4 linked regions of the Macaca mulatta genome follow. The protein of the gene in region 4 interacts with the protein of the main gene of each other region in a pairwise test. Links are inferred from orthologs where the notes say so. Each region holds a gene or a part of one and is shown on either strand. Other genes may lie near its edges.

The links.
Region 1: the proteins of CAMK2B (region 4) and RAP2B interact in binary tests that used the Homo sapiens proteins (3 or more experiments, as listed by UniProt). The two-hybrid records come from large-scale screens. The link is inferred for Macaca mulatta from reciprocal best matches to the Homo sapiens genes CAMK2B and RAP2B.
Region 2: the proteins of CAMK2B (region 4) and ACOT7 interact in binary tests that used the Homo sapiens proteins (3 or more experiments, as listed by UniProt). The two-hybrid records come from large-scale screens. The link is inferred for Macaca mulatta from reciprocal best matches to the Homo sapiens genes CAMK2B and ACOT7.
Region 3: the proteins of CAMK2B (region 4) and CCM2L interact in binary tests that used the Homo sapiens proteins (3 or more experiments, as listed by UniProt). The two-hybrid records come from large-scale screens. The link is inferred for Macaca mulatta from reciprocal best matches to the Homo sapiens genes CAMK2B and CCM2L.

The regions. Positions count from the first base shown.
Region 1 is NC_133407.1:56,332,751-56,337,806, forward strand, and holds RAP2B (ras-related protein Rap-2b), read left to right. Parts: upstream 1-1,895; 5' UTR 1,896-2,363; coding exon 2,364-2,915; 3' UTR 2,916-3,242; downstream 3,243-5,056. UniProt on the Homo sapiens protein: Small GTP-binding protein which cycles between a GDP-bound inactive and a GTP-bound active form. Involved in EGFR and CHRM3 signaling pathways through stimulation of PLCE1.
Region 2 is NC_133406.1:234,334,083-234,340,013, forward strand, and holds the start of ACOT7 (cytosolic acyl coenzyme A thioester hydrolase), read left to right. Parts: upstream 1-2,159; 5' UTR 2,160-2,176; intron 2,177-2,574; exon of another isoform or gene 2,575-2,596; coding exon of another isoform or gene 2,597-3,047; intron 3,048-3,126; exon of another isoform or gene 3,127-3,642; intron 3,643-5,786; coding exon of another isoform or gene 5,787-5,931. Other genes in the region: ESPN (espin), read right to left, coding at 1-141, 1,252-1,278, 2,597-2,795, 2,886-3,047, 5,787-5,931. UniProt on the Homo sapiens protein: Catalyzes the hydrolysis of acyl-CoAs into free fatty acids and coenzyme A (CoASH), regulating their respective intracellular levels.
Region 3 is NC_133415.1:84,831,220-84,837,344, forward strand, and holds the start of CCM2L (cerebral cavernous malformations 2 protein-like), read left to right. Parts: upstream 1-2,590; 5' UTR 2,591-2,613; coding exon 2,614-2,643; intron 2,644-6,118; exon of another isoform or gene 6,119-6,125.
Region 4 is NC_133408.1:84,110,051-84,115,903, reverse strand, and holds the start of CAMK2B (calcium/calmodulin-dependent protein kinase type II subunit beta), read right to left. Parts: upstream 3,326-5,853; 5' UTR 3,153-3,325; coding exon 3,088-3,152; intron 2,574-3,087; exon of another isoform or gene 2,478-2,573; intron 1-2,477. UniProt on the Homo sapiens protein: Calcium/calmodulin-dependent protein kinase that functions autonomously after Ca(2+)/calmodulin-binding and autophosphorylation, and is involved in dendritic spine and synapse formation, neuronal plasticity and regulation of sarcoplasmic reticulum Ca(2+) transport in skeletal muscle.

The sequences.
Region 1 (5,056 bases), on a different chromosome or scaffold from region 4:
TACGCGAGTTTGCCTCTGAGAGGTTTTTCTGGAGAATTATATAAGCTTCATTACATCCAAGCACTCTGACAGTCAAGGTGAAAGTCTCCTCTCTCCACTAAACGATGGGGTGAGGCGCGGGTGTGGGCACCACCCACTCCACCCAAGGAATCAGGGGCAGCCCACGTCCCGCCCGGTTCGGTGCCCAAGGACTTCACGCTGCAGACGCGCTGAAGAAGCTTCGGCCAGGGGTTTGGAGGTTAACTAGCAAACGCAGTGTGAGTCACGGCGGCATTAGGAACTGAAACCAAGTGTTAGCCATGCCCAGGTTTACCCTCCAATGCTGACGGTGAAACCAGGGAGCAGTGACATCAGGACTGGGAGCCAGCGCTGACGCAGCTCCACCGCCTCCCTCCCCACCCCGCACCCGTGGCGCGCGCCGCCGCGCTCAGCCTGCAGACAGGTCTTGACATCCCTCCTCAGAGAGGAGCAAGGGAGTCGGAACAAGTCGGGGCATCTCCCTCGCACCTCCCGGGAGCGCCAGCCCAGCTAAGTCTAGCGATTGTCCGCCAGCCAGCGAAGACGCTTCCTCTGAGGCAAGCTTGGACACTCCCCTACCCCTCCGGGTGAAACGAATTCCAAGTGGCCCATTTCGGCTCCTCGGCCCCCTCCCACTCCCTGCAAAAAAACTTGGCAACTCTGAGGTTTCTTGCGGACCAAAACCTGTAATTAGCCCTTTGTGCTCCCTTTGAGGGGCAGTCGTGACTGGAAACCGAGGAGTCAGACTCTCTCGAAAACACCAACAAAGAACTATATTTAGTTCTGAGCTCTCAGCCTAAATGCCTCTTATTTTTTCACTTTTACTTCAAAACGCCTGGGTTGGGGAAGTGGGAGGCAGGGGGTGGGGAAGCAGCGGAGAAAGAACAGCTGTGCCTCCGCCTCTCCTCTCAATCTCTATAAATAACCAATCGCGAGCGGAGGCTACTTTTTAGCCAATGAAGCGCCCCAAACTGATAAAGCCTTGGCGGCAGCCAATCAACAACACTTAGGGGTGTGAGACTCGCGTCCCGAGACCAATGAGTGCGGAGTCTGGGAGAGGTAATTTGAGCTAGAGTGTGGGTGTGTGGTGCAAAAGCTTCCTACTTCCAAGCCCAAAAACCTGCTCTGCGACTGAGCATGCCCTGAACTAACTGCGGGCGCCCGGAGACTTCTGGATAGGGATGTAATCTCGTCTCCGGGTTTTGACCGCACCCGAGCGGGGAGGTGGGTACGACCCGCGGGACCCTGCCCCGAGAGAGCTGCAGGTACCAGAGGCTACCCCTTTCCTAGTCGGGACAGTATCTCAGGCTTGGAGTACCTCCTGTTTTCTTTGTGCAAGGCTGCAGTGCACAGAGTAGCGTTTCTGTGGCGAACGGTGTTGAAAAATCTATGGGGCCGGGATGCTCCGCCGGCTGCTCGTGCATTCCACGGCACCCACATGACTTCGGGTTTCCGGCCCCAGACACACGCCCGCCCGGGGCTGGGTGAATGGCGTCCTTGGGCCTTTGATAACGGGAGTTGGCAAGACCACAGCCTACTCTATCCTGAGGCGGCCCGCCGCACCCACATGCTTCTCGCAGAGCCGCCGCCCTTGTCCACCACTCCCACAGCTGTAAAAGAAAGCGGCCTGCATACTCCCTACACCGCTTTCCTCGCTCCAGTGTACGCACACACACCCCATCTACCAGCCAGTTCCTAACTCGCGCCACTCCCCAAACTGGACTCAAATCCGGAGCCCCGCCTACATCCCCGCCCCCTCCCGGCCCCGCGGAAAACCAGGAGCGGCCGCTTGGGTAAGGCGCGGCCGGAACGCACTGGGCATGCTCGCCGGGGAGGGGAGGGCCGGGCTGCGCGCGGCGAGTAGGAAGCCCTCGCCCAGTAGAGGCTGCGGGAGAGAGCGCGATGGGCCGCGGCGGTGGGCGCACGTTCCGCGGGGACTCATGCCACGCGCGTCCCGTCCCGACGCGCAATTAGCAGCCACCTCCGCAGCCCGCCGCCACCGCCTCCCCGCCCTCCCGGGCTGCCGCAGCTAGGAGCTCCAGCCATCGCCTCGCGCAGGCTGCGGGCATTGTCCTCCCGGTTCGCCGCCCGGGCTGCTGCTGCTGCCGCCGCGGACTGCTGCGGGGCCCCGACCCGCGCCCCAGGGACACGCCGCCGCCGCGGGCCGGCCCGGCGCCCGGCCCCCGCTCGGTGGTTTCCGCCCTGCGTTCTCTGGGCTACTCTCTCCTGGGTTTTTCCTGAGGAGCTGAGGAAGGGGAAGAGAAGTCCAGCCGCCAAGCCCAGCCTTCCCCGGCGCGCAGCCCCGACGGGGCCGCGGCAGGCGCGGCGAGAGCGCTGACGGAGCCATGAGAGAGTACAAAGTGGTGGTGCTGGGCTCGGGCGGCGTGGGCAAGTCCGCGCTCACCGTGCAGTTCGTGACGGGCTCCTTCATCGAGAAGTACGACCCGACCATCGAAGACTTCTACCGCAAGGAGATTGAGGTGGACTCGTCGCCGTCGGTGCTGGAGATCCTGGATACTGCGGGCACCGAGCAGTTCGCGTCCATGCGGGACCTGTATATCAAGAACGGTCAGGGCTTCATCCTGGTCTACAGCCTCGTCAACCAGCAGAGCTTCCAGGACATCAAGCCCATGCGGGACCAGATCATCCGCGTGAAGCGGTACGAGCGCGTGCCCATGATCCTGGTGGGCAACAAGGTGGACCTGGAGGGCGAGCGCGAGGTCTCGTACGGCGAGGGCAAGGCCCTGGCTGAGGAGTGGAGCTGCCCCTTCATGGAGACGTCGGCCAAAAACAAAGCCTCGGTAGACGAGCTGTTTGCCGAGATCGTTCGGCAGATGAACTACGCGGCGCAGCCCAACGGCGATGAGGGCTGCTGCTCGGCCTGCGTGATCCTCTGAGGCGGCCGCCGCGCGCCGGCCGCGCTCTGCGCACAAAAGCCAAACGCATCCGACTCTCTAAATGTGATTTCTTTCTTGCTTTGAGATTGGAGACCACTTTGCATTGGCCAGGGTGTCTTGGGAGCCCCGCTGGCCTCCGCGGCCGGCGTCCCCTGCCTCCACCCTGTACCCGAGGGGGTGTCCCGTCCTGCCCATCTGATACTCTGGTGGAAATGTGGTTCTTTGCAGCATGTACGTTTCTCCCTGATTTTGGTTGATGCATATTTCCCCGTTTAAGTAGCCGTTAGGGCGCAGTATCGGCAGCTTGACACCCACCAAGCAAAAGTTTCAGCCTGGAAAAAAAATGGGAGGGGGGAGGGGTGGAGGAAAAGGAGGGGGAGAAGGTGGAAATGGTTTTTCTTTCTTTTTTTTTTTTTTTTGGTCAACAACCGTTTTTCTAGTTCCAAGTTTTAAATACATGGAAGGAAGTCCGGGAGAACCATATGAAGGAGCAGGAGGAGAAGAAGAAACTTTTGTTTTTTTCCTTGTTTTCCAGGAGTAGCTGGAAGTTAAGATTGGGTTCCTTTTCTGCCAGCTTGGAAGGGCAACCCCATGACTGATTGCGATTCTGAGGATGTCTATGCAAAGTTGGATTCTTGTTACAGTGTATCCAATCTGAAGTATTGCACATCTGAACTGGGACTGTTAACACTGATGCCAATACAGTGTGGGGTGCCAGAAAGTGTCTGCTGATATTTGTGGAAAAAAAAAATCTATTTTGTTTACCTACTGTATCAAAGGGGAGTCTGGGGGAGAACGGTAGTATTTTTTTTTTTTTTATCAGCTGTGAAAAAAATGTTACAGATCTGCACATTTTCGTGTGTACTATGGTGTGTGTGTGTGTGTGTGTGTGGTGTGTGTGTGTTTTAAGTTTAGCCTTTTGTTTTTGTTTTTTGGTTGGCAGTAACCGATTTTAATGACTAGCTTTTTAAAATACAGTACAAAGACTTTGTAAATGTGATTCAGGGCCCCCAGCACCCCTGTGTCTGCAGAGTGCCTTCAAAACTCAGCTGTTCCAGCCGGTGCCAACCTGTGAACTTCCCACCATATCCCAGAATCTGCTATTCCCCAAACCACTTCCCAGTTTCCTTTCAATAATCTTTCAGAAGGAGCCAGGACAATAGGGCCTGTTGTTTAGTGAATTTCTTTATTATTTTCAGCCTTTAAAATGTAATTTCCATCTCTTGCAATGAATTTGTTTCCTTTTTTTTTTTTTTTTTTTGCTTCATTTTGCTTAAGTTTTCAGGTATTTAGCTCCCCTTTTATATTATTTTTAAATTTTTAAATTACCTGTTGTAGGGTGTTCCTCCAGAAGCAAAGAGCAAAATTTTACTGTTGCGATGTACCAATTCTAACTAATTGTAATTTTTAATTTCATGCGTTTAATCATTGTCTCTTCATTTTAAGACTTTTAATACAAATGTCATTTTTAAAGAAACCCAAAACTATTGTTTGTGTTTCTGTGTTTCATATTCAGTGATTTAATACAGTATCATGGCTGAGGTGGATGGGGTAGGTGCATGATACTCTCCCGAGCTATTTGTGAAATTTTAAAGACAGAAGTGTCTCAGTGACAAGATGGATGACACTACTCCCAACTTTTTAAATTTGGAGAAAACCATCAAGGTCGAGGAAGCCCTGGGTATGGCCATTACCATCTGATTAGAAGATGAACAGGTATTTTGAATCTGATCTGATGTGGAACAGTTTACCTCATTGTAGGTAGGGAACAAGAGAACCCATCTATTAAAATTGCCTTAGATCTGGGAAAGTAACCATCCATCTGGCAAAGTAGGATGGCGCTTTAAAATTTTTCTTCCTTTTTTCCCCATGTTTATATCACACATCAAGTCGAAAACATGTTTGGGAAAGATGGTTTTCAATTCTTAAGTTATACCTAGTGATGTTTTTTGCAGTACATTTGAGTAGGTTGTGGACACTGTCTCAACCCCTTTGAGGTTTTGATTTGGAAATAGATTTAAAAGAAAACAGGCTAAGATAATATCCTTGTTCTCCTTTACACCCTGCAGTTTGGACCATATTTGACCTCATAAGTTTTTCCTTTTAACAGTAGGAGGCAGTGTGAGCTTTTTATTTTTTAT
Region 2 (5,931 bases), on a different chromosome or scaffold from region 4:
AGGCCGGCTGCCCGCTGCCTGAGAACACTGTGGTCAGTCCCTTGCTTTGTGGCGTAGGCTTCAGGCTCTTGCCAGCCTTAATCTCAGCCAGTAGCTCCGAGTTGTCGCCCGTCGGGGACATCATGTTGAAAGACTTGGTGCCTATGCAGAGGCAGGAGATGAGGCACTGGCCAGGGTGGGGCTGCATCCCTGCCACCCCTCACCCGCCCCTCTGCAGCCCCCTTCCCAAGCCAAGATTGGCTGGGTGCCCATCCTCGGCCCCAGCAGGCAGCTCTCCAGATCCCAGGTCCCACAGGCTGCTTTCAGGGCCCCCAGAGGCGGGCCCTTGGTTCCCCGACTGTGACAACCCCACTATCCTCCCCACCCTACTCACGGGGTGGAGGGCCCCCGCCTGGAGGACCCTGGGAGTTCATGGTGGCTCTTGGGCATATGTCCCCGCCCAGCCACTGACTGCCCAGCTCCAAAACAATACCTGGAATCAGCCACCCGACCTTTGTCCCAGGTTCCCTGGCTCAGCCCGGCTGGGGTGGAGCCTCCCTCTGGCCCTCTCCCTACATCAGCAAAGCCTCAGTGACCCTTGAACTGAGTCAATTGGGGCCTCCATGGACATACAGAGTCCGGACCCTGGAGTGTCTGTACCCACCTGGTCCCCTCCCTCCCCACCACACCCACAGACAGACGCACAAGCAGACACATTGTTTGCAAGCCGGGAGCACATTTATGGCAAAGCGAGGCTCAGCTCTAGGGGCCCAGGAAAGCAGGGCCCTTACTGAGGCTACGGCAGGCACCCAGGAAGAAGGGCAGGTGGGTAATATGCAAATACACAGGGCAGAGGGTGCATTTTCCGGCTTAGCCGGAGGAGGCAAATGGAGATTTGGAGAGAGGTCTCTTGAGCCCCGATGAAGGGGTCAGGTCCGGGAGGGAGGAACAAAATGGGCTGATAGCTCTTGGATTCCCAGACTGGGGATCCCAGAGTACAGTCACAGGGAAGAAAAAGAGGAGAAAGGGAGAATCGGTGTGGCTGGCTCATTTATTTAGGCAAAACCACCAGCCAGGCGCAGAATGCTTAGGTGCGTATGTGGGTATGAGGGTAGGTATGAGGTGCAAGGGCCCACCCATGCATCGAGTTTCTCTCGCCTGCCAGCCCCTGCCCTTTCCTCGAGTCTGGGCCCCTCCTGCCTTGCTTTTCCTGCCTCTTCCCCCCACCCCCCGCCTCAGCCTCAGCCAGGAGCCACGCGCGCAGCTACTCACTCTTCCTGTGCCTCAGGACTCTCACTTCTAGGGACCAAGAGGAGAGAAGTGACAGTGGAGTTAGGAGGGAGAGGGGACCAGGATGAGACTGGGACAGCAGGGGACAGGGAGCGGGCCAGGGAGAGCGGGGGGAGGGGGAGTGGAGAAGAGAGGAGGAGCTTTTCTGCCCGTCTGGCTCTGGCCCCGGCTGCTCTGGGGCCTCATGAGGGTGGTCCATCGAGTTCCCGGCTTGGCTGGTGCCCCTGAGGGCTGGACAGGGCCACCACTGGCTCTAGCCCCTAGCAAGGGCCTCCACCTTGGCACTGGGTTGTGGTAGGGCACCCAGCCCTGGCTGTGCTGGGTGGGGGTGTCTGGGGAAGTCCAGAGTATTTTTCTCTGCCCTTAGCTTCAGCCCTGCTGCAGGCTGTGGAGGGAAGGAGGAGGAGGCTTGGCAGGTGCTGGACATGCTTCCATGGGCTCTGGTCTGCAGGGGCTGGGGCTCCACAGGAACCATAGGGGGACAAGCTCTGCTCTGCACTCCTAATCAGGGAGACAAAGCTTTGGAGGGTGCCACTAAGCATGATCTCTGCCCTGAGTGGCTGGGTGAGGAAGGCATCCCAGCCAGGCTGAGATGGGAGCACCACATCTAGACACCCTGTCCTGGGCCTTCTAGGTATCCTGGCAGGGGGACACTGTCCCACCCTACAGAAAAGCAGCCCAGGAATCCTGCACCAGTCTAGCTCTTAAAAAAGGATGCCTAGGGAAGTCACCGGGGAGGGAGGGGAAAACATTGCCCCCATAGCCAGGCCCCGGGTGGCCCAGGGCCCCTGGCAGGAACTGGCTAGGAAGAGTTGCTGGCATATCTAAGAAGGCTTCAGGTCTGTGCTGCTTGGAAGGACAAGAGAAAGACATGGAGAGAGGAAGAGAGGCTCAGGATAGAGGGGGGCAGGGGGAAGAGTGGCCAGCTGCGGGGCCTCTCTGAAGCTGGTTCTACTTCAAGTGTTCCTCCAGCACCAGCTCATTGGAAACGCCAGCGCCAGAGCTGGGAGACCCTTTCTAGCCGGTGGGAGGCAGGCCCAGAGAGGGGAGGGGACTTGCCCAGGCCACACAGCTAGGGGGTGGGAGGCAGGCCCAGACTGGGGAGGGGACTTGCCCCAGGAGCACAGCCCGGTCCTGCTTTGGCAGGACCTCCAGCAACCCAGAGCCCTCTCTTAGGGTCAAGTACTCAATGGGGTAGGGGTGGCCGGAAGAGCATGTAGAAGAGGAAGGACCCGGGCAGTGACAGCTGGGGAGGGGGTGGTGTCTAGATTTCCCTCCCCTTTCAGGGCTAGCGCCGCCCCCCACCCCTCAACCTGCTCCTACTCACTGCCGGTGGATGAAGAGGAGCGGCGCTGCCCGCAGCCAGGGCCAGCGCCCTCAAGGGGCAGAGGCGGGGCCGGTGGCAGCGAACTCGCGGCCTCGGGCAGGGGCGGCGGTGGCGGCGGGGGCGGCGGTGGCAGCTCCCTGGACGCCTTGGGGTCCGCGGCACAGCCGTTAGGCACGTGGTTCCCTGGGAGCAGCGCCGCCTGCGGGGGAGCAGAGGGGCCTTCGAGTGAGCCGCGGACGGCAGGGCCAAGGCGCGGGCAGCCGGCGGGCGCGGGCTGGCAGGCACGCACCTCCTCGCTGTGCGCCATGCCTGGACGTGCGGCCAGCGTCTCGCCCGGGCAGCGGCCCAGCTGCCGGTAGTAGTCCCCCGTGCTGGGCTGCTTGCTGAAGGCGCGGGGCTTGCGGCCGGAGTCCTGCCTCCGCAGCCCGTCGTGGCCGTCGCAGGAGCTTGGCTGCAGGAAGACAGTGACCGGTGGGGCTCGGGCACCTGCCGGGTAGGCGCCCCCCACGCCTCCCCACCCAGCCGTTCACCTCCTGGGGGGACTCGCGGCCAGCGGCCGTCGAGGGGTGCAGCAGCCGTCTTCCTACATCCCCTGTTCTCAGGGCGGGCACGGGGAGAGGGTCATGGGGGTGTCGGTGGAAGGGCAGGCTCCGCCCGCCTTACAGGGAGGGGTTCTGGGCACCGGCCAAGGGGCACAGGGGCCCCCACTGAGGCCAGAAGGGGCGGGCCCAGGGGCGGGGTGGCCCAGCCCCGACGCCAGGGGGAGCTGGAGAAGGGGCACCTCCCGGTTTAGCCCTCACTAGGCCCTTGGCCGCACCCCGCTCTCGGCTGTCAGACGGACTGCGGGTCCCCAGGGCTCCGCGGAGCCCAGTCTTTCGGGGTCCCGGCCGGAGGGAGCCCCCTCCAGAGCCTGTGCTCTCCGAGGCTCCGGCTTGTCCCGGACCCCGGTTGCCCATCCGGGGGCTGCTCCTACCTGCCACGGTGCTGGTGGCCCCCGCTGTGCACCTGGCGGCGGGGGTGGCAGGACCCGACACCTGCGTTACCTGATACTTCCTCTCAGGTTACAGCCGCCCGCACACGGCCAGCCTATGGGCTCCGACGGCCTGACATCACCCGGGGCCCGCCAATCCCAGGCCGAACCCCCCAGCCGTGGCGGATACCACGGGGGTGCCAACTACCTTGCCACACCTGGCCGCAGCTCTGCACCCGCCCCAGGCCAGATGTGACCCCGCCCCCTGCGCCTCTCCCTAAGCTGGGAGCTGAGCCCCCACCTTCATCCTGGGCAGAGGGGGCCTCTCATATTTGGCCCCCGGCTCCGGGTCGCGTCCCCCTGCTTCCCCTCCTGCATCTGGAAACCATCCCCATCCGAAAGCGACACCGACACCCGCGCTCAAGCCTCGGGTTTCAGGGGCCGTAAGGCGGGGTCGGGTGACAGCGTGGCTTCCCGCCCCGTCGCAGCTGCCCCCAAATAGGCCCAGCTCAGTGAGGGAGAGTGAGGCGGCCCGGCCAAACGCTGAGTGACGGAGTGGGGGCTGTCCCCTGCCCCACTCTCCAGCCCCTGCGTCCCTGAGGTGGCCTCAGACCCTTCACCCCGCCCGACCTGGCTCACGTTGCAGGAAACGCGACACCGCAGGATTTGTTTTCTGGGCCAGCCCGCCCGCTCCGCGCCCCCTGCAGCCCAGAGGCTCGGACGCCACGACCCTGCTCCCGCCCTCGGTCAGGCACCCGCGCGGGGGGCGCCGCGGCCACACAAAGAGCCCTTTGTGGAGTGTCCGGGTCCCGGCCCTGGAGCCTGCGGCCCAGCACGCACACAGCCGGGAGGGACGCACACAGCCGGGAGGGGCGCACCAGCCGGGAGGGGGCTCACAGCCGGGAGGGGCACACACAGCCGGGAGGGGCGCACTGAGCCGGGAGGGAGGCACACACCCGGGACGGGCTCACACGGCCAGGAGGGGACCACGCAGACCTGGCACTTGGGCTCACCGGTGGAGAGGGGACACTGGCTGGGCCACCTGTCCTGTGGCTTTGGGCGGGGCCCACAGGCTGGGCTGGGAGCTCAGCGATTCCAGGGCCCCTGCAGCCCTAGCTGGCCGGCCCCCTCTGCCTCCCAGAGATGAAAGGGGAAGCTACTGTGGGAGCTTGGTCTAAGGTAGCATGAAGAGGGCAGCCACTGGAACTGGCCTGCAGGTTTGGTGTCCCTCCCATGCCTCCCTTGCCCAGTGGCCTTGTGACCTGGGTCACCTTGTATAAACTGGCCCTGGGATGGCTTGCCTTGGGCTTAAGAGAGAAATGCAAGGTCCCAGGCTCCAGCAGGACCCCAGAGCGCTGCCACACCACATCTGGCCACCTGTGACCTCAGGCTGTCCCCTCACCTCTCAGGCCATCCTTGCTCTGTTCCTGTGGCCAGAATGCCAGTGTTCCCCAGGTCACCCTGCCCAAGATTCCCAGAATTGCTCAGACCAGACCTCTGCCCCCACTCCTGCTCCAGAGCCTCAGCCAGGGGCCTGCAGCCCCCAGACATCCCTAGGTGCCTCACACTCCACCTGCCTGCCCTGGCCTCATCCTCTCCACACAGGCTCTGCTTCCCTCCAGGGCTCCCAGCTCAGGCCTGGCCCTTTCCCCCAGGATCTCGAGCCCTAAACTGGAACTAGCCACAGCTTCACTTCCTCCCAGCCCCCACTGCCGGTGGGCACCCAGCCCTGCTAGTGCCTGCTCACCTTCCCCCCACACTCCTTCCAGCCCTCACCTCCACAGCCATGCCACTGGCACCTTCCACCTGGCAGCCACCTCCCTTGGGTAACACTCTCTGACAGCCTGGGGCTGTGGGGGTGGTGGGGGCATGCTTGGGGAGGGGCAGTCTCCATGAATTCTCTGTCAACTTCATGACAACCCAGCCACTCTGTGCAAGAGGTGGCACAGGCCCAGTTCCTGGTGAGGCACAGCTGTCTGGACCTGCGTCCTTCACTCCCCGGCTCCCATGGAGGGCGGTGACCTGCTCTTACTCTCCTCCCAGTCCAGTGTCCACCCCTGACCCCTCATGGGACTCGCCAGGAGCTTTGACTCTTGAACATGCCATGGACCTAGGGACCCCCACCCTATGCCCACTAGTGAGGCCAGGCCTTTGGCCTCACTGGCTCCCATCGGCCTAGTCCCCCTGCCGGGAGGCAGGCAGGGGGTGAGGGCTCACTACCTCCTTCTTGAGGGCCTCCGTCTGCACGTGGCGGAGTTTGTTCTTCGTCTGCATGTAGATGTCAGCTGCCTGTGGTCCCACAGGAGGCTTGGGAGCTGGGTAGCCAGGTGGGGGTGGGGGCAGTTGGGTGCCTGGGGGCGGGGGT
Region 3 (6,125 bases), on a different chromosome or scaffold from region 4:
TACAATACGCAACCTGGACCAGGTCATATATAGCAAATCAGTTCCAGAGCTTAGGTCTCCAGAACCCAGGTGTCGCTGCAAGGTGTGAATGGGCCACTCAGAACCTTTCCATCTGTCCTGGGTGGGGCATGCAGAATGCATAGGTCCTAGAGGTAAGGAACACTAGGCTCAGATCTACACCAGCCAGAAATCCCAGCTCCTCCTCTCATTCACCGTGTGACCTCCTTGAACCAGGCTCTGCACTTCAGCCTCAGTTTTAAAAATCTGTGTAATAGGTACTATCATGGTACTCAACACTGCGAGGAGTAAGATAAAATATGTAAAGTGTTCAGCACAGAGCCACAAAGGGGACCTTGCCTCTCTAATATACTTCCAACAGAGTAAAACAGCTCAAGACCCTATGAATATGGTCAGAATAAAAATGGAGTCACTAATGTTAAGAAAACCTTGACAAATAGAGCTGGGGAAGGCCATAGAGGATTTTCTTTTTTTTCTTTTTTTTTTTTTTTTGAGACGGAGTCTCGCTCTGTCGCCCAGGCTGGAGTGCAGTGGCGCGATCTCGGCTCACTGCAAGCTCCGCCTCCTGGGTTTATGCCATTCTCCTGCCTCAGCCTCCTGAGTAGCTGGGACTACAGGCGCCCGCCACCGCGCCCGGCTAATTTTTTGTATTTTTAGTGAGACGGGGTTTCACCGTGGTCTCGATCTCCTGACCTTGTGATCCGCCCGCCTCGGCCTCCCAAAGTGCTGGGATTACAGGCGTGAGCCACCGCGCCCGGCCCCCATAGAGGATTTTCATGCTTGCAAAACAAATAAGACTGATGACAAAACAGATAATAACAAAGACTGATTACACAAAAGACTACAAAAATCACAACCTTGCACAAAGGCCATCGAAACCTTGCACAAAAAATACTTCCACAAGGACATCTGCCCAGCAACTGCCTGTCCAACTTTAGACTGGCGTCATGCTTGCTCTTGATCTTGGTAGTCAAGGATAATTAGTTCAAAAACAATAACATAATCCTTATTTTTTTCTTTTAAAAATTTTTGTCTTCCCCCACCTCCCTGAAAGTGCACATCACTTACTATGGCATATAGGTAATTCCCACTGCAATGCTTAATTCCTAAATGAAATTTCTTTTTTTTTTTTTTTTGAGACAGAATCTCGCTCTGTCGCCCAGGCTGGAGTGCAGTGACCAGATCTCAGCTCACTGCAAGCTCCGCCTCCCAGGTTTACGCCATTCTCCTGCCTCAGCCTCCCAAGTAGCTGGGACTAGAGGTGCCCGCCACCTCGCCCGGCTAGTTTTTTGTATTTTTTTTTAGTAGAGACGGGGTTTCACCGTGTTAGCCAGGATGGTCTCGATCTCCTGACCTCATGATCCGCCCGTCTCGGCCTCCCAAAGTGCTGGGATTACAGGATTGAGCCACCGCGCCCGGCCCCTAAGTGAAATTTCTTTTAGAGAGTCTCTGTTTGTTCTTTAAGTTGACAACTGCTAGGCAGGTAAACAGTTAATATTTACTGAGCACTTTTTAAAAAAAAATTTTTTTGAGATGGAGTCTTGCTCTTTTTGAGATGGAGTCTCAGCCAGTCACCAAGGCTGGAGTACAGTGCCGCGATCTCAGCTCACTGCAACCTCCACCTCCCAGGTTCAAGCAATTCTCCTGCCTCAGCCTCCCGAGCAGCTGGGATTACAGGTGTGTGCCACCATGCCTGGCTAATTTTTGTATTTTTAGTAGAGACGGGGTTTCACCATGTTGGCCAGGCTGGTCTCGAACTCCTGACCTCATGATCCGCCCGCCTCAGCCTCCCAAAGTGCTGGGATTACAGGCGTGAGCCACAGCGCCCGGCCTTACTGAGTACTTAATATGTGCCAGAAGTTCTTCTAGGTGCATTTAATCCCCACAAGGTCACTATGAGGTTAAACTAGTATTATGCTCATTTTAAAGATGGGAAAACTGAGGCACTGGTGGTTAAGAGACTTCCCAAAGGTCATAACCCTAGTAAGTGCCAAAGCCAGGATTCAAACTCAAGCAGCCTATCTTCAAAGCCCACGCATACTGCCTCCCTTCAGAGTAACGATTAATTTTTAAAAATCATAACTTGCTTGGCTACAATACTCTCTAAGACACTTTCCACCGACTCTTTCATTTCTCACCACAGCAGCCTAGGGAGGGAGGCAGTGTTTACTTCCAACTATGGAGGGCAGGGGAAACAGGCTGTGAAAGGGGGAACCGACTTGCCTTGCCAAGGTCACACAACAAGGTCAGTGGCAGAAGTAGGGCTGGAACTTGGAATTTTCCAAACTAGGACTTCAAATGTAGGGGGCCCTTCCCCAGCCTTGGCCAGTTCCCAAGCTCCCCCAATAACATGTCTTCTGGCTAGAGGCCTTGAGCCTCCCTCCTCAGGTCAGCTCTGCCTGGGCTTCCACCCTTCAGCTGCAGGGTCCCAAGGCTGTGTCCTCCACACCCCCTGCCCTCCCCGTCAGATGGGAGGGGCAGGAACTCCAGGGCTGGTGGAGTTTCCGACCAGGCAGGAAAAAGAACAAAGGAACTGGGTTGGGGGGGTGGAGGGGATGGCCAGGAGGGTGGCAGAAGTAGACGGGACATTTCACCATGGAATATGAAGTCAAGAAAGGGAAGAAGGTAGGTAGGAGGTTGGGAGGGAGGCAGGGAATGTCCCCAAAGCTGGGGAAGGGGGCAACCTGGGGCAGGGTGGGGGGTCAGTAGCAAGGGGCATAAGTGGGGTCTTTCTTCTCATTTGGAAGTAACTTCCTTCCCACTCTTGGGCAGCCAGACATCCAGGCTCTCAACTCCCTGTTTCTCCACTCTCAGTGGCCTCTGGCATCCCTAACACGGACAGACAGGGATCTTCCCAGGAAACCTGGCCAGACAGACAGTTTGGGAGATTCTCCACACCTGCTTCCCTGCTGTTCCTGGTGGCTCTCTCCTGCAGCCTCTCAGACAGAGGGACAGACAGACACCCAGCAGATCCATTCTCCCGCTCGCCACTGCCCCAGACAGAAGGACCCAGTCAGGACAATTCTCATAGGAGGTTGCCTACCCAGGCTTGAGTCTCCCACCTGCTCCCCTGCCCCTCCCCACCTTTCTACAAGGGCCTATGTGTAAGGCGTCAGCCAGAAGCCATTCCCCCACCCCCAGACCCTCACCGCTTCTGACTCTGAAGTTTTCTGGTATGCTTCTCTGGGTGTCTCACCTGGTTGTCTTTGGAGTTTAGGGAGCTACTCTGATTTTAACTTCCATCTTACCCCCATTTCCATCCTCCCCTCTACCCTACCCCCACCAGAAACATGGGTCCAGGCTGTTCTAAAAGGTGCCCACATGAATCACACAGGGCTCAGAAGGGAGCCAAGACATACATGCATGTTTTCTCTTAGTTTGTTCTTTTAATAGGTATTTATTGAATGCCTATTATGCACCAGGCATTTCATTTCTTTTGTTAAAGCAATGAATAAATTAATGTAAAATTGCATAGAAGGGCTGGGTGCAGTGGCTCATGCCTGTAATTCTAGCACTTTGGGAGGCCGAGGCGGGAGATCACCTGAGGTCAGGGGTTTGAGACCAGCCAGGCCAATGGCGAAACCCCGTCTCTACTAAAAATACAAAAACTAGCTGGGCGTGGTGGTGCATGCCTGTAATCCCAGCTACTCAGGAGGCTGAGGCTTGAACCCAGGAGGCAAAGGTTGCAGTGAGCCAAGATCATGCCACCGCACTCCAGCCTTGGTGACAGAGTAAGACTCTGTCTAAAAAAAAAAAAAAAATTCATAGAAGGTCCCATGCTCAGTGCTGGAGGACAGAATATTAGGGTACCAAGCCCTACACTGATCAGTTTGAGTCGAGAGCTGACGGGTGGAAGGAAAGGGGGTAGGGAAGAACGTTTGAGGCAGAGGAACAGCATGTGCAAAAGCCTCACAGTGGGAAGGAACGTAGCAAGCCAGAAGGACTGAAAGAGGACTGTGTAGTGGGGGGCCAGGGGACAAGAGTGAGGCAGATGGGGCTGGACAGGTGGGCAGAGCTGAACCATTCAGGGCCACCAACAAAAATACCACCTCCCCACCCCTGACACACACACACACACGCAAGACAAAGTCCCAGCTCCATAGCTGGCATTCAAGATATGTTCATCTCATAATCTAGCCAGGGCAGACTGACTGTACACAGCTTCTCCAGGCTCACCCTCATCCAGCCTTTGAGGCATCCAGAATTTTGCACATGCTGTGCCCTCTGCTTGGCATGTGTTCTCCCAGATAGTTTCCTCTCATTCCTCAAAGTTTCTACATACCCCATCCTGGCTGCATGATATTGGTTCTAACATAAGCTGAGTACCCATAAGAATCACCTGAGGACTCATTAAAACACAGATCACTGGTCTTACCCCCAGTTTCTGGGCCAGTAGGCCTGGGATGGGGTTCAAGAAATTGCATTTCTGGCCAGGCACAGTGACTCATGCCTGTAATGGCAACACTTTGGGAGGCTGAGGCAGGAGGATTGCATGAGCCTAGGAGTTCAAGACCAGACTGGGCAACATAGTAAGACCCCATCTCTTTAAAAAATATATATATATATTAGCTAGGTGTGGTGGTGGTGCATGTCTGTGGTCCCAGCTACTGTGAGGCAGAGGTGGGAGGATCGCTGAGTCAGAAAGAATTTGCAATTCTAATAACCCACAGGTTATGCTTACGGTTGTGGGGCCACACTTTGAGAACCACTGGTTTAGATCCTGGCTACTCAAAGCGTGGTGCACAGACCAGTAGTATCAGCACCAGATGGGAGCTTGGTAGAAATGCAGTCTCAGGCTCCAACCCAACCCTACTGAATCAAAACTCCAGGGTACATAAAGTTGGAAACTCACTAGTCTAGGTCATTTATCACAAGCCCTGGAGGTACGGATAGGGACTAGGTCTCCACTGAATCCTCAGCACCCAGCACAGAGTCCAGCCATACAGGTGTGAATACATGTTTACTGAATGAATGAGTAAATGAACAGATGTATTTGTGGACTTGTGTTCTGTTTACCTGAAAAGAATGTGAGCTCTTTGAGGGCAGGGAGGTTGTCTTACTCATATTTGCCTCATTACAAGAGTTAAGTAATCACACCATACATTCACTCGGTGGTTTTCAGCTGAGCTGCATTTTGAAATTACCTAAGAAAGCTTTAAAAATCTTAATGGACTGAGCTCATTAACCCCAATGGCTCACACCTGTAATCCCTTGGCCTCTGGGAGGCCAAGGCAGAAGAATCGTTTGAGCTCAGGAGTTCAAGACCAGCCTAGGCAACACAGTGAGACCTCATCTCTACTAAAAATTTAAAAAATTATCAGGGCATGGTAGTACACACCTGTAGTCCCAACTACTTGGAAGGCTGAGGCAGACGGATCTCTTGAACCTAAGAGATCAAGGATGCGGTGAGCTATGATTGTGCCACTGCACTCCAACCTGGGCAACAGAGCAACACCCTATCTCAAAAAAATTAAAAAATTAAAAATTTTATGCCTGCGTCTCAGTCCCAGAATTTCTGATTCAGTTGGTCGGGAGTGTAACCTGGACATCTGAAGTTTTAGAAGGTCCCCGGGTAGTTTGTGTGTGTGTTGGGGGTGGGGGGAGGTTATCTGTTTTGTTTTTTTTTTGACAAGGTCTTACTCTGTCACCCAAGCTGGAGTGCGGTGTTGCAATTGCAGCTCACAGCAGCCTTGACCTCCCAGGCTCAGGTGATCCTCCCACCTTAGCCTCCCAAGTAGCTGGGATTACAGGTGCATACCACCACACCCGGCTAATTTTTTTGGTATATTTTCTGCAGAGACAGTTTCACCATGTTGCCAAGGCTGGTCTCGAACTCCTGGGCTCCAGCTATCCTCCCACCTCAGCCTCCCAAAGTGCTAGGATTACAGGTGTGAGCCACCGCACCTGGCCTTCCCCAGGTAGTTCTAAAGGATAGCCAGGGCTGGGAGCGACTGCTCTAAAGTGCAGTCTCACACTTGAGCATGCATCAGAATCACCCGGCGGGCTTGTTAAACCCTAATTGCTGGGCCCTGCTCCCCGAGTTTCTAATTTAGTGGGTCTGGGATGGGGCCCGATAATCTGCATTTCTCTCAATTCCTAGGTGGTGC
Region 4 (5,853 bases):
CTATATTAGTTATGGATACTTATATCCATGTGTAAATGTACCCAAAAGAGCCTGGGAGGAAAAAGACGAAAGCAGTAGTTGGAAGAAAATGGGTTACTTAATATTTCTTTGGAATACTTCTTATAATTTTTTGTAAAAAAGGACTTAAAGCCAAAATGACAAAAGATTAACCATTTTCAATTCTGGGTAGAAGAGATACTATGTTCATTTTATTATTCCTGGGATTTTTCTGGATCTTTAAAGTTTATCGAATATAAAAAAATTAAAACTGCACTGTTGGCTGGGCCATGCCAGGCTGAGGGCTTCCCTGCCTTGCTCTGTAACTGCTCCCACATGGGCCACCAGGCTAGTGTCTGTGAGAAGTGTCAGGCTGAGCAGGGAAGGGCACACACTCTCTATAGAACTGGGCAGGGCAGGGCCCCAGAAAGCGGCTCCTCTTGGCTGGCTGACCCTGCTGCCCAGGCCTCCGGGGAAGATTCGGGAGCAGAGACAGCAGAAAAGGATGGGGCAAGGGAGGGGAAAGGCCAGTGGCCTCGTCACACATGAGCAGCTGTGGGCCTGAGGCCAAGTCCTTCCTTTGGGCAGGGAGCTCAGTGAGACCTGACTGGGTGCCAGTGGCTGCAGCTTTAAATAAACTTGGACATGTCCACCTGAGGCCAGGAAGCAACACCAACTGTGCCCCGGGCAGGCACTGTCAACAACCAGCCAACGTATCAACCAAGGGACCCCAGCGCTACAAAAGGGCTGAGTGCCCACAACTGAGCCCTGGCCTCAGACATCCCCCTTGGGTGCCCTGCTCTGCCCTCCCCGCTCCCTGACCCACCTCTATGGCACGGCTGCACCCCCTAGGAATCAGTCCCTTCCCTACCCCAGAGCCGCCACAGCATGGCAGTGGCAGGCCTTTGGCGTCCCCAGGGACCCGGCGCCTAGCAGGGCTCCAGGAAGGTGCACTGCGCTGAGCTGCCAGCTCCTGGCTTGGGCATCTCCTCTTGTCCCAGGTCACGGGGCTCCCCTTGATCCCAGGCTCCACTCCTCACCTCGCACTGCATGGCTCCCAGTGCTTTCGCTCAGGAGGCCACACTCCCTTCCAGCAGCGGCTCATTCTCCGGCTTCAGAGAGAAACCCAGCAGTCTTAGCCCCACCTGGTCTCCACCTCTGGAGCCACCTCTCTCAACCTCCCCCAGGCAGCCCCAAAGACCTTCACTCCCCAGTGTGGGTGGCACTGGCCAGGACATCCAGCTGTGCTGGAACTGGAGGCTCAGTGGGGAGCTGGCCACCCTGACACTGCCACTGGATGCAGGGAGGCTCGCAGCAAAGGGGAGAAGGAACAGCCAGAGTGAGCTGCAGGCTGAGGACACTGGGGTACATGGGAACGTCTTGAAAGTGGCTTCTTTGGGGAAGACCAGGGACACCTGCTGTGAGGGCCTCTGTGCTTCTGGGCACAAGCAGAGAAGACGACAAGAAGGCCCCTGAGGAAAGACTGACTTCCCACTGCCGCTCTCTTCCTCTGAGAACCAGGCACATTAACTGCTACCCACCTGCCCTTCCAGCGGCCAGGACACCTCTGGAGGCCAAGAGGACAGGCAGGGGTAGATCTGTGCATCTGAGGGGTGAAGACGGGGGAGCCAGCCACCCACTTAGGGATCCCCATGAAGGGGGCTGGGCCTGACCCCTCCCTCGAGGTCTCAGCTCTGGGGTGCTCTCCAGACCCATCCAAGGAAGGGTCCCCCAGCCGGCCTGGCCCCTCACCCCACCGATCCAGCATGGGCTTCTTGCACAGGGCTGAGCGCCACATCTCCACCCCCTACCCAAATCCTCTCCACACGTGCAGGGAGAAGTGGGGAATGAACACACCCCCACACTCCTCCAGCTCCGCACTCCACAATTATCAATGATCAGCGTCCCTCACCCACCACAAGGTTTCACCAGACACTTATTTAGTAAAGGAAAAAAAGAATCAGTGCTGGATGTGTAAGAGGAAATCTCGCCAGCACCGCCAGCGCCCCCACCGCCTGCACTGAAGGGACGGAGGAGGATGGGGGAGGACGGAGGAGGATGGGGCTCTGGCCCAGTCAGGCTGGAGATTCGGGAGTTCTGAAGCTAGCCCTGGGGATGCCAGGTGCAGCCACCTTGATTCTCAGACGGGAGACCCCAGGCCAGACAGGAGGCCCCTGAGGCGTTCCCCATCTCTGACCCCAGTGGCAAAGCCGGGTCTGGGGGACCCAAACCAGACCTTCGCCCCACACTGCTCATACTGCTGAGCAGAGAACGGGAGCCACAGCACCTGTTCCCCGTGAGGTCCCACTTCAAACAAACCTTCAAAGCCCCTTCCCCTTTAGAGTGCCCCCGCCAACGGTCCAAAATCCAGCCCCCACCCACCTCGATGACCCTGAAATTTGCAACCCAATCAGGATCTTAATCTCTCCCCCCTATCCCCATGACCTGATCCAGGCTCCCTGACCTCGTCCTCCCCACACCTCCAAATTCCTGTTTCCAGAAGAATCTGGGGGAAAATCCTCCAGAACCCAGATTCCCCAGGAGACCTACAGCAGAGGCTCTCCCACGCCGGCACCCCCCGCGCGGATGGGGCCACGCGCAGGAGCAGGCGCAAGCAGGTCCCGCCACCCCCGCCGCCTGCCGCTCGGGTGGGGGTGGGGACAGCGTGCCCGCGTCGGGGGACGACCCTCTGGGGCCGCAGCCGACCCCTCCTGGCGCTCCAGGCCCGGCGGCCGCCCCCGCGCGCCCCTCCTCTCTGACCTCCCCGCCGCCAAATGCGTCACGTCTGCCGGGAGCTCCGGGGACACCTGCTGCCGCCCCCGCCGCGCCAAGTCGCGAGCCCAGAGCCCCGGCCCGGCAGCCGCGCTGGGCAGAGCTGGAGAGGGCCGCGCGCGCTGAGGTCCGGCGACCGGGCCCGGGGCCTGGGGCTCGGGGGTCGGGGCCGCGCGGGGCCGTGCGCTTGGGCCCGGAGCCCAGAGAAGCCGGCAGCGCGCGGGGCCGCAGTGCGCCCGGAGCCGGCGGCGCTGAGGGTCCCGGAGGTCCTGGCCCTCTGGGGTCCCCGGCCCAGCCCGCGCGTGCCGCGGCTCTTACTTGCCAATATCCTCGTAGAGCTGGTACTCGTCGGTGAAGCGGGTGCAGGTCACCGTGGTGGCCATGGCGGCGGCGGACGGGCTCGGCGTGCGCTCGGCTGCGCTCGGGCGGCGGCGACTCCGGCTCCCGCTCGCGGGCACGGCGGCGACACGGGCGCGGGCGCGGGAGACACCTCGGCTCGCGGCGCCAGGCGGGGGCCGGGCTGGGCTGCGCCTGGCGGCGAGCGCACGCGAGATCTGCTCGCTCCGTCCTCGCCAGGAGCGCGCCGCACACCTACGCGCGGGGAGGCGCGGGCGCCGCTGTCACCGCCGCCGCCGCCGCGCCCGCCCCGCCCGCCCGCCGCCCCCTGCACGCGCCTTCCCCGCGCCCTGCACACGCTGCTCCTGCACCCGCACCCGCACGGAACCCGCGCCCTGCATCTGCACACGCGCCCTGCACACACACCCGTGGCCCGCACCCGCAACGCACCTGCACCTGCACCTGCACACACACGCGCGCCCGCCCCCGCACCCCGCACCCCGCACACACACCCGCGCCCTGTACTGACGCCTTCATTCTGTACCCGCACCACGCCCGCACCTCGCGCACGCAGGCCACTTGCTGCTGGCGACCCCTCGCTCTCACATAACACAGAAGAGTGCACATAATGAACGCAGCCTCTCTCCCTCGAAGGCCCACCTAGCCTGACAGCAGGAGGGGACTGGGGCCCACATGGAGGCCGAGGGCTCATGTGCTGCCCTCCACAGGACTCATTCCTCACACCCTCAGGAAGAGATGCTGCCAGATCCCTCCTGCCCAGTCTCCATCAGCCACACATGTCACAAAGGCTGCCTGGCCAGGAGGAGCCGCCCAGAAGGCCGGACATACACACTGGGACACTAGCATGAAAAAGTGAAGGGGTGGGGCCTGCTCCCTCACCTTGGTCCCAGCCCCTCCCTTCCCCCTCACTTCTCCAGAGAACGGTTGCTGGGGTGTCTGGAATGGAGGTCCCAGGAGGCGACATTCGGAGTCCAGGCCAAGGGACCCTGAGCCAGGGAAACAGGGGCTGCTCCATCAGCAATTTGGGGGGCCTGAGAGCTCATAACCACCCTGCTCAGGTAAGGGTACACATTCTCCCCTTTTCCAGCATGGTCCACCTGTCTGCCCCCTGCTTTTGCCTAGAGGAAGAGAGCCCACACACCCCAACCCCCTCTTGAAAGCCGTCCTGGAGGCCAAGGAGGAGGAGAGTGCAGGGAAGCAGGCAGGAGGCAGGGCCGACCCGGTTTCCCACAAAACAGCCTTCCCTGAGGCCTGGCACCAGGGCTGCTGTCCAGAACCAGAACCAGGACTTTAGACCACTGGGCTCCAGCAACCCCACACTCTCCTCTGACAGGGTCTATCCTGGGCAGGCTCTGAGGAGGGGGTTTCCAGCAGCCAGCTCTGGATTTGGGTCACGCTGCTGCCCTGACATGACCTCCTTACTGCTCCCCAAGGACCAATTCTGGGCCTATCCTGCTTATCCCTCTCACCTCGTGGCCAGCCCAGAGCAAGCCCCAGAAGCCACAATAAATGTTGTGTGGATAAGGGAGGGGATAAAGGGATTCTGAGTGCCAGCAGCCAGGGCCCTTCTGGGCCAGGATGCATTTGGCATAGGACTGCTGGGCAATTAGTAGACCACACGGCAACAAGTCCCTGCCATCGACCCACCTGCACCCAGAAGACACTAGAGGACAAGAAACTCTCAGGCCAAAGGCAAATGCTGGGCCAGCTGGGGAAGTCCCCAGCTGAGGAGGCAGAGGGATCCTGACCTTGACTTCAGCAGGACCATAGCAGGAAGGGAGACCCCATCCATGTCAGACTTGGACTCAGAGAACCCTGGGCCATCCTAACAGACAGACTGGCATGGACTCGAGAAAGGACTGGAGGCCAAGTCTGAGGTTTGTTCTTGGCGTTGTGTTTAACCCCACAGGAGTTTCTTCCAGCACCTGCTGGAAGCATCCGCACTTTCCCTTTCTGAGCTCTGGAAAGACGAGGTAGGGCCACACAATAGAATACAAATAACAAGCCAAGCACAGTGGCTCACGCCTGTAATCCCAGCACTTTGGGAGGCCAAGGTGGGTGGATCACCTGAGGTCAGGAGTTTGAGAGCAGCCTGGCCAACATGGTGAAACCCCGGCTCTACTAAAAATACAAAAATTAGCCGGGTGTGGTGGCCCATTGCCTATAATCCCAAATGAGAATCGTTTCTACCTGGGAGGTAGAGGTTGCAGTTAGCTGAGATCAAGCCACTGCACTCCAGCCTGGGTGACAGAGCAAGACCCTGTCTCAAGAAAAAGAATACAAATAACAAGACAAACAAAAGAAAATTGCACCCCTCTGTAAGTTGGACTCTTTGCAGGCTACTATGAAACCACACACACTCCTACCAGCATGTTCAGGAGATGATAAAGTGGTGCTGGCATCCTAATGACAGCTGACACTGATTGTGCAGTTTACATGTACTATCTCATTTAATTCTGAAACAATCCTATTAAGCATGTACTATTATTATCCCCATTTTACTTGATGGGATAATGGAGAGACAGAGAGGTACAGTAATTTACCCACAGTCACACAGCCATGGAATGACTATGACTCAAACCCCAGTGTCCCATAAAACCTCCTTTGCCTTACACACACACACACACACACACACACACACACACACACACACACACAAACACACACATACCAACAAACACATCCATACAAACAGACCCACACTTACACGGCTTCCTGGAGCCCTGA